4 linked regions of the Rattus norvegicus genome follow. The protein of the gene in region 4 interacts with the protein of the main gene of each other region in a biochemical or structural test. Links are inferred from orthologs where the notes say so. Each region holds a gene or a part of one and is shown on either strand. Other genes may lie near its edges.

The links.
Region 1: of the proteins of H1f5 (region 4) and Ccna1, one has a biochemical effect on the other in vitro, tested with the Homo sapiens proteins (2 studies listed by BioGRID). The link is inferred for Rattus norvegicus from reciprocal best matches to the Homo sapiens genes H1-5 and CCNA1.
Region 2: of the proteins of H1f5 (region 4) and Ccnb1, one has a biochemical effect on the other in vitro, tested with the Homo sapiens proteins (2 studies listed by BioGRID). The link is inferred for Rattus norvegicus from reciprocal best matches to the Homo sapiens genes H1-5 and CCNB1.
Region 3: of the proteins of H1f5 (region 4) and Ccna2, one has a biochemical effect on the other in vitro, tested with the Homo sapiens proteins (2 studies listed by BioGRID). The link is inferred for Rattus norvegicus from reciprocal best matches to the Homo sapiens genes H1-5 and CCNA2.

Annotation. Positions count from the first base shown.
Region 1 is NC_086020.1:141,383,273-141,386,838, reverse strand, and holds the end of Ccna1 (cyclin-A1), read left to right. Parts: intron 1-505; coding exon 506-710; intron 711-1,615; coding exon 1,616-1,729; intron 1,730-2,832; coding exon 2,833-2,966; intron 2,967-3,244; coding exon 3,245-3,296; coding exon of another isoform or gene 3,297-3,370; 3' UTR 3,371-3,486; downstream 3,487-3,566. UniProt on the Homo sapiens protein: May be involved in the control of the cell cycle at the G1/S (start) and G2/M (mitosis) transitions. May primarily function in the control of the germline meiotic cell cycle and additionally in the control of mitotic cell cycle in some somatic cells.
Region 2 is NC_086020.1:33,652,413-33,656,636, forward strand, and holds the start of Ccnb1 (G2/mitotic-specific cyclin-B1), read right to left. Parts: upstream 2,814-4,224; 5' UTR 2,713-2,813; coding exon 2,692-2,712; intron 2,209-2,691; coding exon 2,047-2,208; intron 1,953-2,046; coding exon 1,803-1,952; intron 1-1,802. UniProt on the Homo sapiens protein: Essential for the control of the cell cycle at the G2/M (mitosis) transition.
Region 3 is NC_086020.1:121,354,800-121,358,699, reverse strand, and holds the end of Ccna2 (cyclin-A2), read left to right. Parts: intron 1-173; coding exon 174-286; intron 287-468; coding exon 469-692; intron 693-1,293; coding exon 1,294-1,501; intron 1,502-2,092; coding exon 2,093-2,206; intron 2,207-2,523; coding exon 2,524-2,657; intron 2,658-2,934; coding exon 2,935-2,983; 3' UTR 2,984-3,337; downstream 3,338-3,900. Other genes in the region: Exosc9 (exosome complex component RRP45), read right to left, coding at 3,859-3,900. UniProt on the Homo sapiens protein: Cyclin which controls both the G1/S and the G2/M transition phases of the cell cycle. Functions through the formation of specific serine/threonine protein kinase holoenzyme complexes with the cyclin-dependent protein kinases CDK1 or CDK2.
Region 4 is NC_086035.1:47,420,452-47,423,442, forward strand, and holds H1f5 (histone H1.5), read left to right. Parts: upstream 1-1,423; 5' UTR 1,424-1,480; coding exon 1,481-2,149; 3' UTR 2,150-2,454; downstream 2,455-2,991. UniProt on the Homo sapiens protein: Histone H1 protein binds to linker DNA between nucleosomes forming the macromolecular structure known as the chromatin fiber. Histones H1 are necessary for the condensation of nucleosome chains into higher-order structured fibers.

The sequences.
Region 1 (3,566 bases), on a different chromosome or scaffold from region 4:
GCCATAAAGAAAGCAGAGGGGAAGGAGGACAATAATGAAATTATATTGTTATTTTTCTCTTGGTGATTCAGTATCCTTTGCTAACTAATGAAGTTGAATAATTTAATATGGTCTTCAGAAACAAAACAAAGCACAGCTAAAGCCACCAAAGCTATGGGATTGTTTTTTTTCTGTTATTGGTTTGATCCTAACATTCTTCTCACAAAGTGACCCAATATCTATTCAACCAACAGGGATCCAGCTGAAGCATGTGTCCTTTAGACCTAGTCAGTGTTTCAAAGTCCCCAACCTGTCACAGTTCCCAGCAGTTAGTATACCATACCCTTGCGGTACTCTCGCGGACTGAGAAAAAGCTCACAGTATGTTTATAGCCCACACAGTTCTCTGATGGTTCTGTGGCAATGGCAGTATAAAGTGAATAAGCCTCCAGGGCCATGCGAGAGGACAGGAGCTAGAGACGACCGTTCCAAACTTTCCCCCTGATAATTCCTTACCCGCCCCCCAGGAAATACGAAGAGATATACCCGCCCGATGTCGATGAGTTTGTCTACATCACTGACGACACGTACACAAAGCGACAGCTACTGAGGATGGAGCATCTGCTGCTGAAAGTCCTGGCATTCGATCTGACCGTTCCAACCACCAACCAGTTCCTCCTTCAGTACTTAAGGCGGCAAGGGGTGTGCATCAGGACTGAGAATTTGGCCAAGGTATGCCACAGGACTTCTGGGGACAGCCACCTTTCCAACCACCTTCCACGCCCATCCCTCCCGGGTTTCCATCTCTGTAGAGGTGAAAGGCAGTTGTCTTAAAAACACGATGCCTGCTCACCAGACATTGCTGTTGATGGTACTGGCAGGTCCCAGTCACGTAGCTCCCGACTATCAAAGACTCTTAAGCACGGTAAGCTCCCTTGAGAGATGCAGACCGCAGGCGAGCAGCGCCTTTTAACTTGGGAGCAAGGTAAAACGTGGCTGGGTTTTGTTTGAATCTTATTCTAATTCAGTAAGAAATAAAGCAGCACGAAATCTGCAGCCATTTTGATCTAGAGGCACTTAGTTGGAATTATTAGCACTCTGTCCTAGCCAGTGAGCTTGCCATGGGAAATCTGTGAAACACACGCTATTCAAAGAGTAATAAAGATGACCACAAAGATTTCCCTGCATTCTCCTGACACGTCTCCAATGGCATTGCTTGAGCTTGAGAACTGTATCAATTTGCCTAGCCATTGCTAGCTTCAGTATGGCTGTTTCTTTGCCTCCTGGCTAATGACTCTTTCTATTTGAGATGTGAGCTCAATACTCCCTTATCTGACCACCGTAAAGCCTGATCTACTAGATAAGAGAAGTAACCTATCACATATGCCGTGTGGGTGAGATAGGGTATGGGAACATCATCACAACACAAACATTAGTCAGTCGAAGGACAGTCAGAGCAACTATGGAACTAGGAAATATACCTGGCTTAAGTTTGGGGCTCATCATTAGATTCTGAGGGAATGAAAATAAGGAACCAATTGGTGAGTTTGGCAATTCCAGGTTTACTGACAATTTTAGTCAAATTGGACCTTGCTCAAATTTCTTACTCCACTGAGATTTTTCTCTCTTGCCCTTAGTATGTTGCAGAACTGAGCCTTCTGGAAGCTGACCCATTCTTGAAGTATCTTCCTTCCTTGGTAGCAGCAGCAGCTTACTGTCTGGCAAACTATATTGTGAACAGACACTTCTGGGTACGTTTCTGTCTTCTTCCTAAGTAGAACACATTCAAAGTTCATACAAAATCTGTTCAGTGAGTTCAAGATTCAGAATGGACACAAGCCTTCTGAGGGAAAGTTTTTTTCATGATAGCTGGTTGTCATGGCAGCAGACCACAGCTTGTTTCTGAGTCTTCTAGATCAGTCACCATGGCTTTGATGCCATGGCTTTGCTCTGTGGGAAGCAGAAATAGCACGGAATCAGGAAGGCCTGGGAACCTCAGTGCCCAACAAAATATGCATAGAGGGCCTTGAGGCTTAGCCATTGGCCATGCCAAGCTAAAGTTGATCCTAGACAGCTGGAGTGGTGCACACCTATATTATAAGTGCCTGTGAGGTGGAGGCAGGAGGATTGTTAGTCCAAGTCCAGTCTGGGTCTCAGAGGGAGACCATCTCAATAAAACAAACATTAGTAGCATTCAGCTTCTGTAACAACGACAACAACAAAACCCCTCCAAGTTCAGTAATGACTGTTTCTTGCCTCAGAAGGCAGAAAGATCAGAAACAGATCCCTACATTTTATTCTAAATTTTCTCGGAGTGCTAAAAGAAATGAGTTATCTACTTTTATTTCTTATGATACTAGATAACTCTTTTAAAAAATGTATTTATCTGCATGCACATGTGTTTGTGTGTGTGTATGAGAGAGAGAGAGGCAGAGAGAGAGAGAGAGAGAGAGAGACAGAGAGAGAGAGAGAGAGAGACAGAGAGAGATGTAGGTCAGAGGAGAACTTTTCTCCTCCTATCAAGGGTTGTCTTTTGACTAGGGATCTCTATTCTATGCAATCTCTCATATTTAGTGTAAATTATTAAGAATCAGTGAAAGCCCCACCCACATAGGATCAAGAACAGTGGTCTGCCTCTACACTGAGGGTTACAACTATACTCCTGCCAGTTTAGAACCCAGGCTGTTTGGTTCTAGTGTAAGGTTTCTAAAGGAAGGGGTTATGAATCTTTCTGGATGGATATACTTGCTCACCAAGAATTTCACTTCACCCTTCACTTCATAAGCAGTTATGTTCAGATTTCTAACCTCTTATAAAGTTACGTGAAGCAAAATTTCCTTTTCGTTTCAATTAGCCAGAAACACTTGCTGCATTTACGGGCTATTCATTAAATGAGATTGTGCCTTGCCTGAGTGAGCTGCATAAAGCATGCCTCAGTATACCCCATCGACCGCAGCAAGCAATCAGGGAGAAGTACAAGGCTTCGAAGTAAGTGGGCACTCTCCCTTCCTTGCTTTCTGGGTTGTTGTGGAATCAGAACAACAAAAAGAAGTAGAATAAATTCTATCTTTCATTAGGTTGGAAAACAAGGTTGCTCGCTAAGTCAAGAAAAGACATTTAGGAAGATCTAGCTAGATTCACAGTTTGCCAGCGTTTGGCAGTTATAGTTAGCTGGCTTCCTTCTGACCCTTCAGACTGCTGGAGGTTTTCTGTAGCCTAACTGGCATCCTTGGCCCTGGGCTGACCTGGCTGTGCTCTCGTTTCAGGTACCTGCACGTGTCCCTCATGGAGCCACCCGTAGTTCTTCCCCTGCAGTGAACGGGTCAGCTCAACAGCCACACCAGCAGGCTTACTCTGACCTGTTACAGTTTTCTGCGGGTCGGGCCAACTAATGTCAGTTGTAGATGTCACCTTCAACATATGAGTGTTAGGTTCTTTTAGACGTCGGTAGTTTATAATTTATATAGATATAGACAGGTATTTTAAAAGAATAAACAACTTGCTGTGTGGCCATGTGTTGGGCCTCTTTACTAGTTGGCATAGCTGACACAACAGGCATCTTAGTTGCGAGTTATATCGTAGCTGTGT
Region 2 (4,224 bases), on a different chromosome or scaffold from region 4:
GTACTCACATACATAAATCTTTAAAAAAAACAAACAATTCTAACAATCAGAAAACAGTTCTAACAATCAGAGCCAGGCATGGTTAATATAAGCTTTGATCCCAGCACCTGGAAGGCAGGTCTCTGAGTTGAAGCCAGCCTGGTCTCCATAGCAAACTGCAAGCCAGCAAGATCTGGTCTCATAAAAAAATAAGCCCCAATTTAGATTCAGGTAGTTTAAAGTACGAAGAAGTGGGCTGGCAAGACGGGTAAAGGTACCTGTTGCTAAGCCTAACAACTGAGTTCAACCCCCAGGAGATCCACATGGTGGAAGAACTGACTCAAAAGCTGTCTTCTAAGGGGTTGGGGATTTAGCTCAGTGGTAGAGTGCTTGCCTAGGAAGCGCAAGGCCCTGGGTTCGGTCCCCAGCTCCGAAGGGGGAAAAAAAAAAAGCTGTCTCTGACTTCTCTGTGTATTCTCACACAAAATACAAGAGAGCATGGGAGCTGGAGAACTGTCTCAGCAGTTAAAGAGCCCTTGATACTCCATGAGGACCAGAATTCAGATCCTAGCATCCACACTGGGTGGCTCACAAATGCTTGTTACTCCAGCTCCAAAGGAGTCTCTCTTCAGATACATACGATTGGGCACACACAGGACTCTATAGATACTAACATGTAAGGCAAGTCAAAGGAAACGAGCAGGTAAGTGATAATAAAGCCATTTATTCATCAGCATCATGTGAGGTCAATTCAAAAGAATGCCAAGCCTTCAATTATCAATTAATCAATTATTCAGGTGAATACAAGTTCTTGATTACAAACCCAGAGAGCCCTAGCTAGCCTTGAGCATTCAACCCTCCTGCCTTAGAGGAAGTACTAAAATCACAAACATGCACCATCACACCTAGTAGTAAAATCTGGCGGTGTGTGTGTGTGGTTTTAGTACTCAAGGACTGAACCCAGAGCATCCCTATGCTAAACACAATCTAACAGGCTACGAACTCAGGTAAACTTCCATTTGGGGCTTAAATGTTAACCCATCAACATTAATCCATCATCTTTTTTTTTTTTAAAGATTTATTTATTTATTATATATAAGTACACTGTAGCTGTCTTCAGACACACCAGAAGAGGGCATCAGATCCCATTACAGATGGTTGTGAGCCACCATGTGGTTGCTGGGATTTGAACTCAGGACCTTTGGAAGAGCAGTCAGTGCTCTTAACCTCTGAGCCATCTCTCCAGCCCTATTTTTTTTTTTTAAACGGTTTCACTAGATGCAGCTCTGTCTGGACTGGATCTTACTATATACACAGCCCGCCTTGAACTTAGAGGCCCACCTGCCTCTAGGCCAGAATGCTGGGATTGGAAGATGTGTTACCAAGGACCCTATTTAATTAATCTTATTTCTGTCTGAGATTTTTTTTTCCTTTTAAAGAAACCAATTAAAAGATCTAGCCTGAATATATCACCCCAGCATTGGAGAGGTGGGAATCTCAAACTCAAGGACAGCGGAAGCTATACAGTTACACAAAAAAGAAAATGATTATGCCACCTCTGGATCCCAGGCCTCGAGGGGCAGGCAAACCTCTATGTTCCAGGCCAGCCAGGAGCACACAGTGAGACTGTCTACATAAAACAAGAGCCCTACCATATTTATCTGCCACCATCTGAAGCAGAGTGCTAATACTTACCCTAGAGCTGTTAGTGCACGTAAAATGCACTAACCACTCAATAAACAATATATTTAAATGCCGTCGTGTGCATCAACATGAAATGAAGTCAGAGAGGAGGAATACACTTTTTAAAATGCTAAGTTTACCAAAATAGGCTCAGGAGAGTGTTTCACTTCCATAACAGGTTCAGGCTCAGGCTCATCCAGTTCCACCTCTGGTTCGCACACTGGCACCTTGTCCACAGGTTTTGGTAGGGCTTTAACAGTAACTGTTCCAGAACCTAACTTTTTTGTTTCCTGTGGATGAAAGTGAAAGAACAGAATGTTTTTCCAACGGTGACACCTAGAAGATGGGCTTTTTCAGGATAACTGGACCAGGAAGATAAGTTACCTTTTTGAGGGGTATTCTTGACTGTTCGCTGACTTTATTACCAATGTCTCCAAGAGCAGTTCTCGATCTCAGCAGGGGTTTGGAGGCAGCAACTGCCACAGGCACACGCTTGGCGCCTGCCATGCTGACCTTGGCCTTATTTTCTGTGTTAATTTTCGTGTTCTGAAAGAAGTAAGAACCACTTGAGAGAGGATCCATGGCGGCTCCAGGAAGTCATGGGTTAATTAAGGCGGGACCCCACTATGGAAAGCAAGGGCTCTAGGATCTATCCTCCAGCCCTGACAAGCAGGTTTCCACCCAAAACGTTCACCTATTATCCAATTTCCCTTTAAGTCCCAAGCAATCCTAAACACGGTGAAATTTACATCGGAAAGGTAATCATGAAAGCCTCCTTGTAGACAGCTCTCTGGGAAGACTCTGGGCAGACAGACTCTGGGAAGATTCACTCTGGGCCTTCATCATTAAAAGCACACCACCCTACTCCCTCTAAGTCCTTCAGCCCAGATATGTCCCGAAGTCTTTTTTCACCCTCCAGGGAGGGTCCTTAGCTCCTCCATTGGCCGGAACCTTCCGGGCATCCCCTTCCCCTCCTGGCCGCCGCGGCCTTCTCCCACAGCGAGGACCGCAGCGCCCGGCCCGACTCACCCTAGTGACCCTGAGCGCCATGGCTCCTCCTGAAGCAGAGGTTCGCCGATCTGAGAAGACACCCTAACCTCTGGCTGCCCACACCTAAACACTAACAGCCGTTCCCCCACAGCACGCCGGGAGGAGTCTGCCGGGCCTGGGTTTAAACCCCGGGCCGCTCCCTCCTCATTGGTCAGTTCATGGCACTCGCTCTCTTCCCATTGGTGCTGCGGGTTCCCGTAGAATGCGTTTCCTGGGCGATCCCGCGATCCCAAGTTCGGCGAGGGGTGGGGCCAGAGCGAGGCTGTAGCTGGCAGCACCGCCCACCCCTCGTGAGGTCAAGCTCTGCGCCTGCGCACTCGCCTCTTTGCTGCCACCTGCTTTAGGTAGGCTTGGCCGGCAATGCCCACTTGTGTGCTGTCCAAGGCAACTCCGTTGGACCTTAGGAAAATGACTGTGGGGCCGCCACGTTTCTGGAGCACGCATAACAGTTTTGCTGTCCTATTTATTGTTTCTCTTTTTAAAAATAGATTTATTTATTTAGTATATATAAGTACACTGTAGCTGTCTTCAGACACACCAGAAGAGGGCATCTGATCCCATTACAGACGGTTATGAATGAGCCACCATGTGGTTGCTGGGATTTGAACAGGATCTCTGGAAGAGCAGTCAGTGCTCTTAACCGCTGAGCCATCTCTCCAGCCCCTACTTACTGTTTCTCATCCTCATCTACAGAAGTGCCAGTACTATCTTAAGAGTTCGCGAAAGCTTTGAAGCAGAGACAGTCTTTAGTATGATTGTTCCGACCGCTGCCTGGGATGGATTTTGAGGTTTATAGCATGAAGTTATAGCCTAAGCAAATAGATTAACATACCAATCGCCCCAATAGCTACTGCCCCAGGGACAAAAGAAAATGTGCCACATGCTTAATTTCGCTCCTGTTTAAGATTACTTCAAAAATACAGTTTTGTAGAATCTATTCTATTTAACAAGAATCCATAATGCAGCACTCCATCCTTCTACCTCAGACACCTTATTAAGGCTAAATAACTTCAGTGAAATCTTTTTCCACATTAAATTTCAGTAACATCAATGAGGATTTATTTATTTGTTGACCAGGATCTCTTGTAGCACAGGTTGTTGGCATTCCTTCTATGCTCTGCCCAACAGTTACCTAGCAACAGCCAGATAGGCCAGTTTGCTATAAAAAAAGAACTGCTTCTCTCCTCCTCTCCTTTCCCTTCCCCTCCCTTCCCCCTTCTCTCTGTCCTCTGTCCCCTCTCTTTCTCTGTCTCTATTCCTTTCTCAACTCCCTTTCCCATGCCCCCAAATAAACTATTCTGTACTAAACCCATCATGGCTGGTATCTGGTGTGAAGGGTATATGCTTCAGCATCGGTCCACTGAGGTATTCCCTCCCACCACACCATACTGTGCTCTGTAAAACATATCCTTGGTTTTATAAAATACATCACAGGTCGAAGTCCCTATGTAGCTGAGAATGACCTTAAATCTCCTGTTCTCCCTCCTCTACCTCCTCAGTGTTGAGAGTACA
Region 3 (3,900 bases), on a different chromosome or scaffold from region 4:
ATTCTCAGTCCTCTTAGTAGCCTACTGATGTATACTTCTTTTTTGGGATTAAGGTTATCCTAGAGCTATGAGGACAGTAGCCCTAAAACCAGAATAAGATATTCAGTGTTGCTTTGCCATTAGGGTGTTTTTATCGAAAGAGATAAATACTTTGACTTTAATGTCATACACAGAATCACCCCATGCTATGGATATATCTATTGTCTTAGAAGACGAAAAGCCAGTGAATGTTAATGAAGTACCTGACTATCATGAAGATATTCACACGTACCTTAGGGAAATGGAGGTAAGGCTCTGTTCATCAAAAATGGCTAAGTGAAGCAGAGAGGCTAACGATGGACACCTGCTAACTGCTAGCAAGTTACTCCAACGCTAAACTTAACGGCTACAGTGTATGTTAATTGTGTCTTTGTGAATGGTGAAGTAACTAATCATAGTTTTAATTAACCCTACTGAGTTTTTCTTCAGGTTAAATGTAAACCTAAAGTGAGTTATATGAAGAGGCAGCCAGACATCACTAACAGTATGCGGGCCATCCTTGTGGACTGGCTAGTTGAAGTGGGAGAAGAATATAAACTACAGAATGAGACCCTGCATTTGGCTGTGAACTACATTGATAGATTCCTCTCCTCCATGTCTGTGTTAAGAGGAAAGCTTCAGCTTGTGGGCACAGCTGCTATGCTGCTAGCTTCGTAAGTCTAGCTAATTTGGTTCAAAATCATCACTCACCACTCCTTCCCCCCATTTATATTCCATTTATATTTTATTGGGTGTTTTGCCTTTGTGCATCGTGCGTATCTGTAGCACATGTGTGGTGCCTGCTGAGGCCAAAAGAGGGCATTGGGTCCCAGTCATTGTGCCATCTCTTCAACCCCCAGTTTTAACACTGACACCTTTAGGGATGGCTATGGGATGATTCTGAGTAGAGGGTGAAACTTGTTTTCAAGTCTAAAATATAAAGCTTTCCAGATCTGGATTTTACATGCCTTGAATGAGAATACATTTTATCACACTAGATGAAGAGTTTGAAAGTATGGTTCTTCTACAATAAAGTGCTTTCTGGAGTATAAACAAATTCTTCCTTACATCAGGAAATTTAAAAAAAAATTGTATTCAGGAGACAAATCAGAAGTCCCTTAGTGATTTGGGCCTATGAATTGGTTTTTAATCATCTCAGCTAGAGATGGCAGTCAACTGTCAGTGGGAGTGTGGTTGGTGGAAGTGAGTAGAGTACAGTCTATGTAGACAAGACCTTCTTTTGAAAAAACTCATTTACAACTTCTTTTGTTATAGAAAGTTTGAAGAAATATACCCCCCAGAAGTAGCAGAGTTTGTGTATATTACGGACGATACCTATTCCAAGAAGCAGGTTCTGAGAATGGAGCACCTTGTATTGAAAGTCCTTGCTTTTGACTTGGCTGCACCAACAGTAAATCAGTTCCTTACCCAGTACTTCCTGCACCTGCAGCCTGCCAACTGCAAGGTAGAAAGCTTAGCGATGGTAAGTCCAGTTTGGGGTTTGTTTTAGGTTGCAATTAGGGGCAAGCCCTTAGTTTCATTGTATAACACTGCTTAAGAGAGAAAGTATTTCCAGATAGTTAATGCTCCAATACACAGAAAATCCTATAGCCCTCTATATCTGTGGGCTCTGCGCATATGGAATCAATGAACAGACATTAAATGTAACTGCCTATGTACTGGATAAACACATATCAATCGATCTTTTTTGTATTACACGTAATATTGTACTAGTGATATGCATGTAGCATTAGCTTATGAAATGGCATATGTAAGAGACTTGAGTATCTGGTGTCCGTGGATAAGGGCTGAGAGGTCCAGGAGAGAATTTTCCAATGAAGGCCCAAAGATGACCATTCCAGAAAGGCACTAACTAGTGGTTTAAAGAGAACATCCTAGTAGCTGTTTTAAGTTATTAGCTGAGAATAGAGCAGAACATTGAAATAATTTTCCCAGGGCTGGTACGGAACCAGTGAGAGTACCCAAGACAATAGAAACTGGTCAAGAAGCAAGGTTTTGAATCTGAGTCTGATGTGTGACTGTAAAGTTGTTTTGGTTTTGGTTTTCATTGCAGTTTTTGGGAGAGTTAAGTTTGATAGATGCTGACCCATACCTCAAGTATTTGCCATCGCTTATTGCTGGAGCTGCCTTCCACTTAGCTCTCTACACAGTCACAGGACAAAGCTGGGTATGTATTAACTGTTGCCTTCACAAGTATTGGTGTTCTTTGTCTTAACCTTAAACTTGCATTTGAAAGCTCTGCTTCTAGAGTCTGAGTCACCTGCTGCGAGCAGGGGAAGTAAACAGTCAAAAGAGTGAGCTAAAATGTGGGGGTTGGCACTCTCGGAGGCAAAGGGGAGGGGTCAACATTTGGAATGTAAATAAATTTATAAAAATTAAAATTAAAAAATGTGTCAAAGATTAGTGCCAACATTTAGATCAACTGTGAGTTCATGGTCAGTGCCCTGTGCTGTTACTAAAAACTCAATGGTTGTCTCTTTGTAGCCTGAGTCATTGGTACAAAAGACTGGATATACCCTAGAAAGTCTTAAGCCTTGTCTCATGGACCTTCACCAGACCTACCTCAAAGCACCACAGCATGCCCAACAGTCAATAAGGGAAAAGTACAAGCATTCAAAGTAAGAACCATATTCTTTACTGACTAAAGGATAACAGTAATATGCCACAGCCACCTCAGTAAGATCTTATGTCAACATAGGAAGCTTTTGTGCCTTTGCATCTGGTAAGAGATGGGTAAGGGAACAGATATGTGTCCTAAGTATCAAATGTTTTTAAACTCATTAGTCTAATCAAATAAAAGTAGCATTTCTCCAGTCTTGGGACGCATAAATTGTTTGTTCTGTGATCTCCCCGATGAATGTTTACTAATAGGTTTTTATTTCCTCTGCTTAACAGATATCACAGTGTTTCTCTTCTCAACCCACCAGAGACACTAAATGTGTGAGAGTGAAAGACTGAAATGGAAATCGCTCAGAGTTCATGCTGTACAGTTTTTATCTTTGGTTTTAATTTCACAATCATTTCTGAATGTAGATGGTATAGCCACAGACAAATTATGTTATCCATTACTTTTAAAATGGTTTTAATTTGTATATCTTTTGTACATGTGTCTATCTTAGATTTTGGCTAATTTTTAATTGGTTTGTTAACATTGGTGCTGCCAACTGTCAAGATAATAAGAATAAATTGATTTGGAAATCTTTGAAAGTGATAGATAATTTGGCTAATTTTAATTGGTTTGTTAACATTGGTGCTGCCAACTGTCAGGATAATAAGAATAAATTGATTCAGAAATCTTTGCAAGTCAAAGTTAATTTGAGGCAAAAAGAATGATGTCACTTAAAAAAGCTAATTTGATTTGTTTTATTGTTGAGGGTGGGGTAGGGAAAGCTTTTTATAAAATAAAATATTTCAGGGAAAGATGCCTTCAAATTTTGACATTGATTTTAATAATTGTAAGCAACCAAACCAAGTTTCTGACTTGGTTATAAGTAACCAAAAGTAGATGAATCTGTTTTCAGTGTAGCAGAACTCATTCAGAGCTCACATGTTACAGTAGTTTATGGAGACATTTTATTTACCAACTTTTACAAATAAGGTTTTACATGAATTGGGAAGCTTTTATGCAACAGAAAAGTTTTCCAGAAAGTTTATTCGAAGCATAATGTTAAAGACAAAACAGTTTATTAAGTTCAGCTCATAATAGATTTTCAAATAAAAAATATCCAGAGCTGTTAGCACTGAGCAAATACCCTCTTATTAGTTATATATATATATATTTTATATATATATATACATACACATCCACACCACTTTAGCTTAATTAGCAGTTCTCTTCTTTTTCCTCCTTTTCCCTTGACT
Region 4 (2,991 bases):
TTACCTTTTATTTTCCTCAGTCTTTTTTTTTTTTTTCCTTAATTCAAGACAAGGTTTCTCTGTGTAATCCTATCTGTAATCCTGTGTAAACAAGTCCTAGAACTTAAGCTATAGACTCCAGACTGGTCTTGAACTCACAGAGATCCACCTACTTCTGCCTCCCGAATTCCTGGATTAAAGCTGTGTGCCACCACTTCCCAGTTTCTCAAAATCTTTTAATTTGTATAAATGTAGGTTCCTCAACAGTATTCTAAAATACTGGCCTTCTTGTCATTTAAACATGCAAAAACTACCAATGTTGTTATTGGCTATTTATAAAGAGTGTGAGTGATTGTGCTGTTCTTTTACTTTCAAAATCTCACTGGCCATCTATCTCATTCAAGGGCGGTAGAATCTCCTTGAAAATTCTTCTGAAAGTTTTAGAATTTTTCTTAGGTAAAATATTTTTTAAGGTAAGTATTTTCTGTCTCCAAATATCCCTAGGAAATTGTGAAAGCCCATTGATCAGAACCATATCTAATTTATTTTTACTTAGAATTAAGGTGATTGGCATCTGAAGTTAGTGATTCCTTTTTATGTGTTTGAGATATGTTTTAATTATTTATGTACATGAGGGTTTGCCTACATGTATATATGTGCATCACTTATATGTCTAATACTAGCAGAAGCCTGAAATCCCCTGGGACTGGAGTTATAATCAGTTGCAAGCTGTCCTGTGGGTGTTGGAAACTAAACCCAAATCTCCAAGAGTAGCAAGTGGTCTTAAATGCTAGGCTGTCTCTACAGCTCCTAAATATAATGATTTTCAATCTCTCTACTTCAAAGAAGTCACTCTCACACTAGAAATATTGCATTTTCCATTAAAGATATCAACCCTGTACAAAGTACTAGGAGTTTGAACTATTTTAAAGAGAGATATTTAAAGTGGTTAATTTCAGTTTGTAGCCCCTAGGCCTGTGTTATTTGCTACAGATACAAACAACGTTTTTGCCCAAACCAAAAGAACTATTAGTTTTACTCTTGAAAAAATTAAAGGCGGTATCTTTGTACAAATCCTCTTAAGTAATGTTCCTTGCATCCTTCGTATAAGTTTACGGAAACATGCAAGTAACTCTCAGGATGCTCTCTGCTCGGTGGATTTTTAGTAAACACTGGAGGGATTTTTAAAAATACCTTTGGTCAGTTGCGTGGGATTCAAAAAAGCACAACCAGGTACGTGAATCCGAAGGCTGTTCTCCTTTGGAACTCCAAACTGCCAATTTCTGTGGCATTATTTTCGGCAGTAAGTAAAAATTTGGTGACTAACAAACACAATTTGGGATTGTAACCTTGAGTCGCTGCGGCCAGAGGGCGGTGGATTGGACGTTCCACCAATCACAGCCCAGCACCGGCTTATATAAACCCGGAGCCTGAGCAAAGGAGCATTGCAAAATTTGCTCTTCGCGTTAGGTTTCCTTTTCTTGCAGATTTTATTCTCGCCATGTCTGAAACTGCTCCCGCCGAGACTACGGCTCCCGCTCCTGTAGAGAAGTCTCCCGCCAAGAAGAAGACAAAAAAAGCTGGCGCGGCAAAGCGCAAGGCCACTGGCCCCCCGGTATCTGAGCTCATAACTAAGGCTGTTTCTGCCTCTAAAGAGCGCGGCGGCGTGTCCCTGCCTGCTCTGAAGAAGGCATTGGCTGCTGGTGGCTACGATGTGGAGAAGAACAACAGCCGCATCAAGCTTGGGCTCAAGAGTTTGGTGAGCAAAGGTACCCTGGTGCAAACAAAAGGTACTGGCGCCTCTGGTTCCTTCAAGCTTAACAAAAAGGTGGCTTCCGGCGAAGCCAAGCCCAAGGCTAAGAAGACTGGGGCTGCCAAGGCCAAGAAACCTACAGGTGCCACCCCGAAGAAGCCCAAGAAGACTGCCGGGGCCAAGAAGACCGTGAAGAAAACTCCAAAGAAAGCAAAGAAGCCTGCAGCGGCTGGAGTAAAGAAAGTTACCAAGAGCCCTAAGAAGGCCAAGGCTGCTGCCAAGCCTAAAAAGGCGACTAAGAGCCCGGCAAGGCCCAAGGCGGTGAAATCTAAGGCGTCCAAGCCTAAAGTTACCAAGCCCAAGGCAGCTAAGCCTAAGGCTGCCAAGGTAAAGAAGGCTGTTTCCAAGAAGAAGTAAGCTTGCTTGTAACAGCAGCAAAGCCCCAAAGGCTCTTTTCAGAGCCACCCAGAGAACTCTGTGAATGTAGCTGTACACACTTTAAGCTCTCCCGGGTTGTTATCTCCCAATTGGGCCAACCAACTGGAACACCTTCCCGCCCTGATTTGGGCCCTGTGCTCAATCTACAAGGTAAGACGGTTTAGTCTTACCTATGGATAAATTGGTTATGTTGGCTGTTGGTAGTCTCGCGGCCCACTATGGTCACTTGGGACCTGTACGTGGGCCATAACTGCCCAGTGTGGAATAAAAGCGTTGTTAGTAGCCAACATTCACTTAGGATTAAGTGAGACCTCGCGCGAAAAATAACTCATTGGCTGTGTCGTATTACCTAAACCAATGGTACTCTGGTTTATTACTGACTTTAAACTTGATTGGACAGTCATTAGAAGACGTTTACAGATAACGCGGTATTCATCGCCATAGTCTGTTTAAAATGAAGCCAGTGCGGAGACCATCTTCCCTCCCCCTCCTTTAGAGTTTCCTTAACAGAGCTTGAGCTGGTGGAAGTCTCGGTCCGACTGGAAGGGCTCGTAGAAGGCGAGGGACAAGTATGCAGAACAGCAAGAGGTGGAGCCAAAGCTGCAAGGTCCTGAAGCAGGCCCCCCAACACGGGCATCTTTTCCAAAGGCTGTGTACAAATTTCCACTCTCAAGTCATTTACGCTTTTTTTGGAGCCTTTTTGCTCAGTTCTTCCATTGGAAGCACCCAGACACTGAAGTCCCTTAATGAACGGTCCTTTTGTGTTAAAGGTTTGTTAATGTAGTAATGGGTGTGACACTCCCCTACATAGGACTTTCACT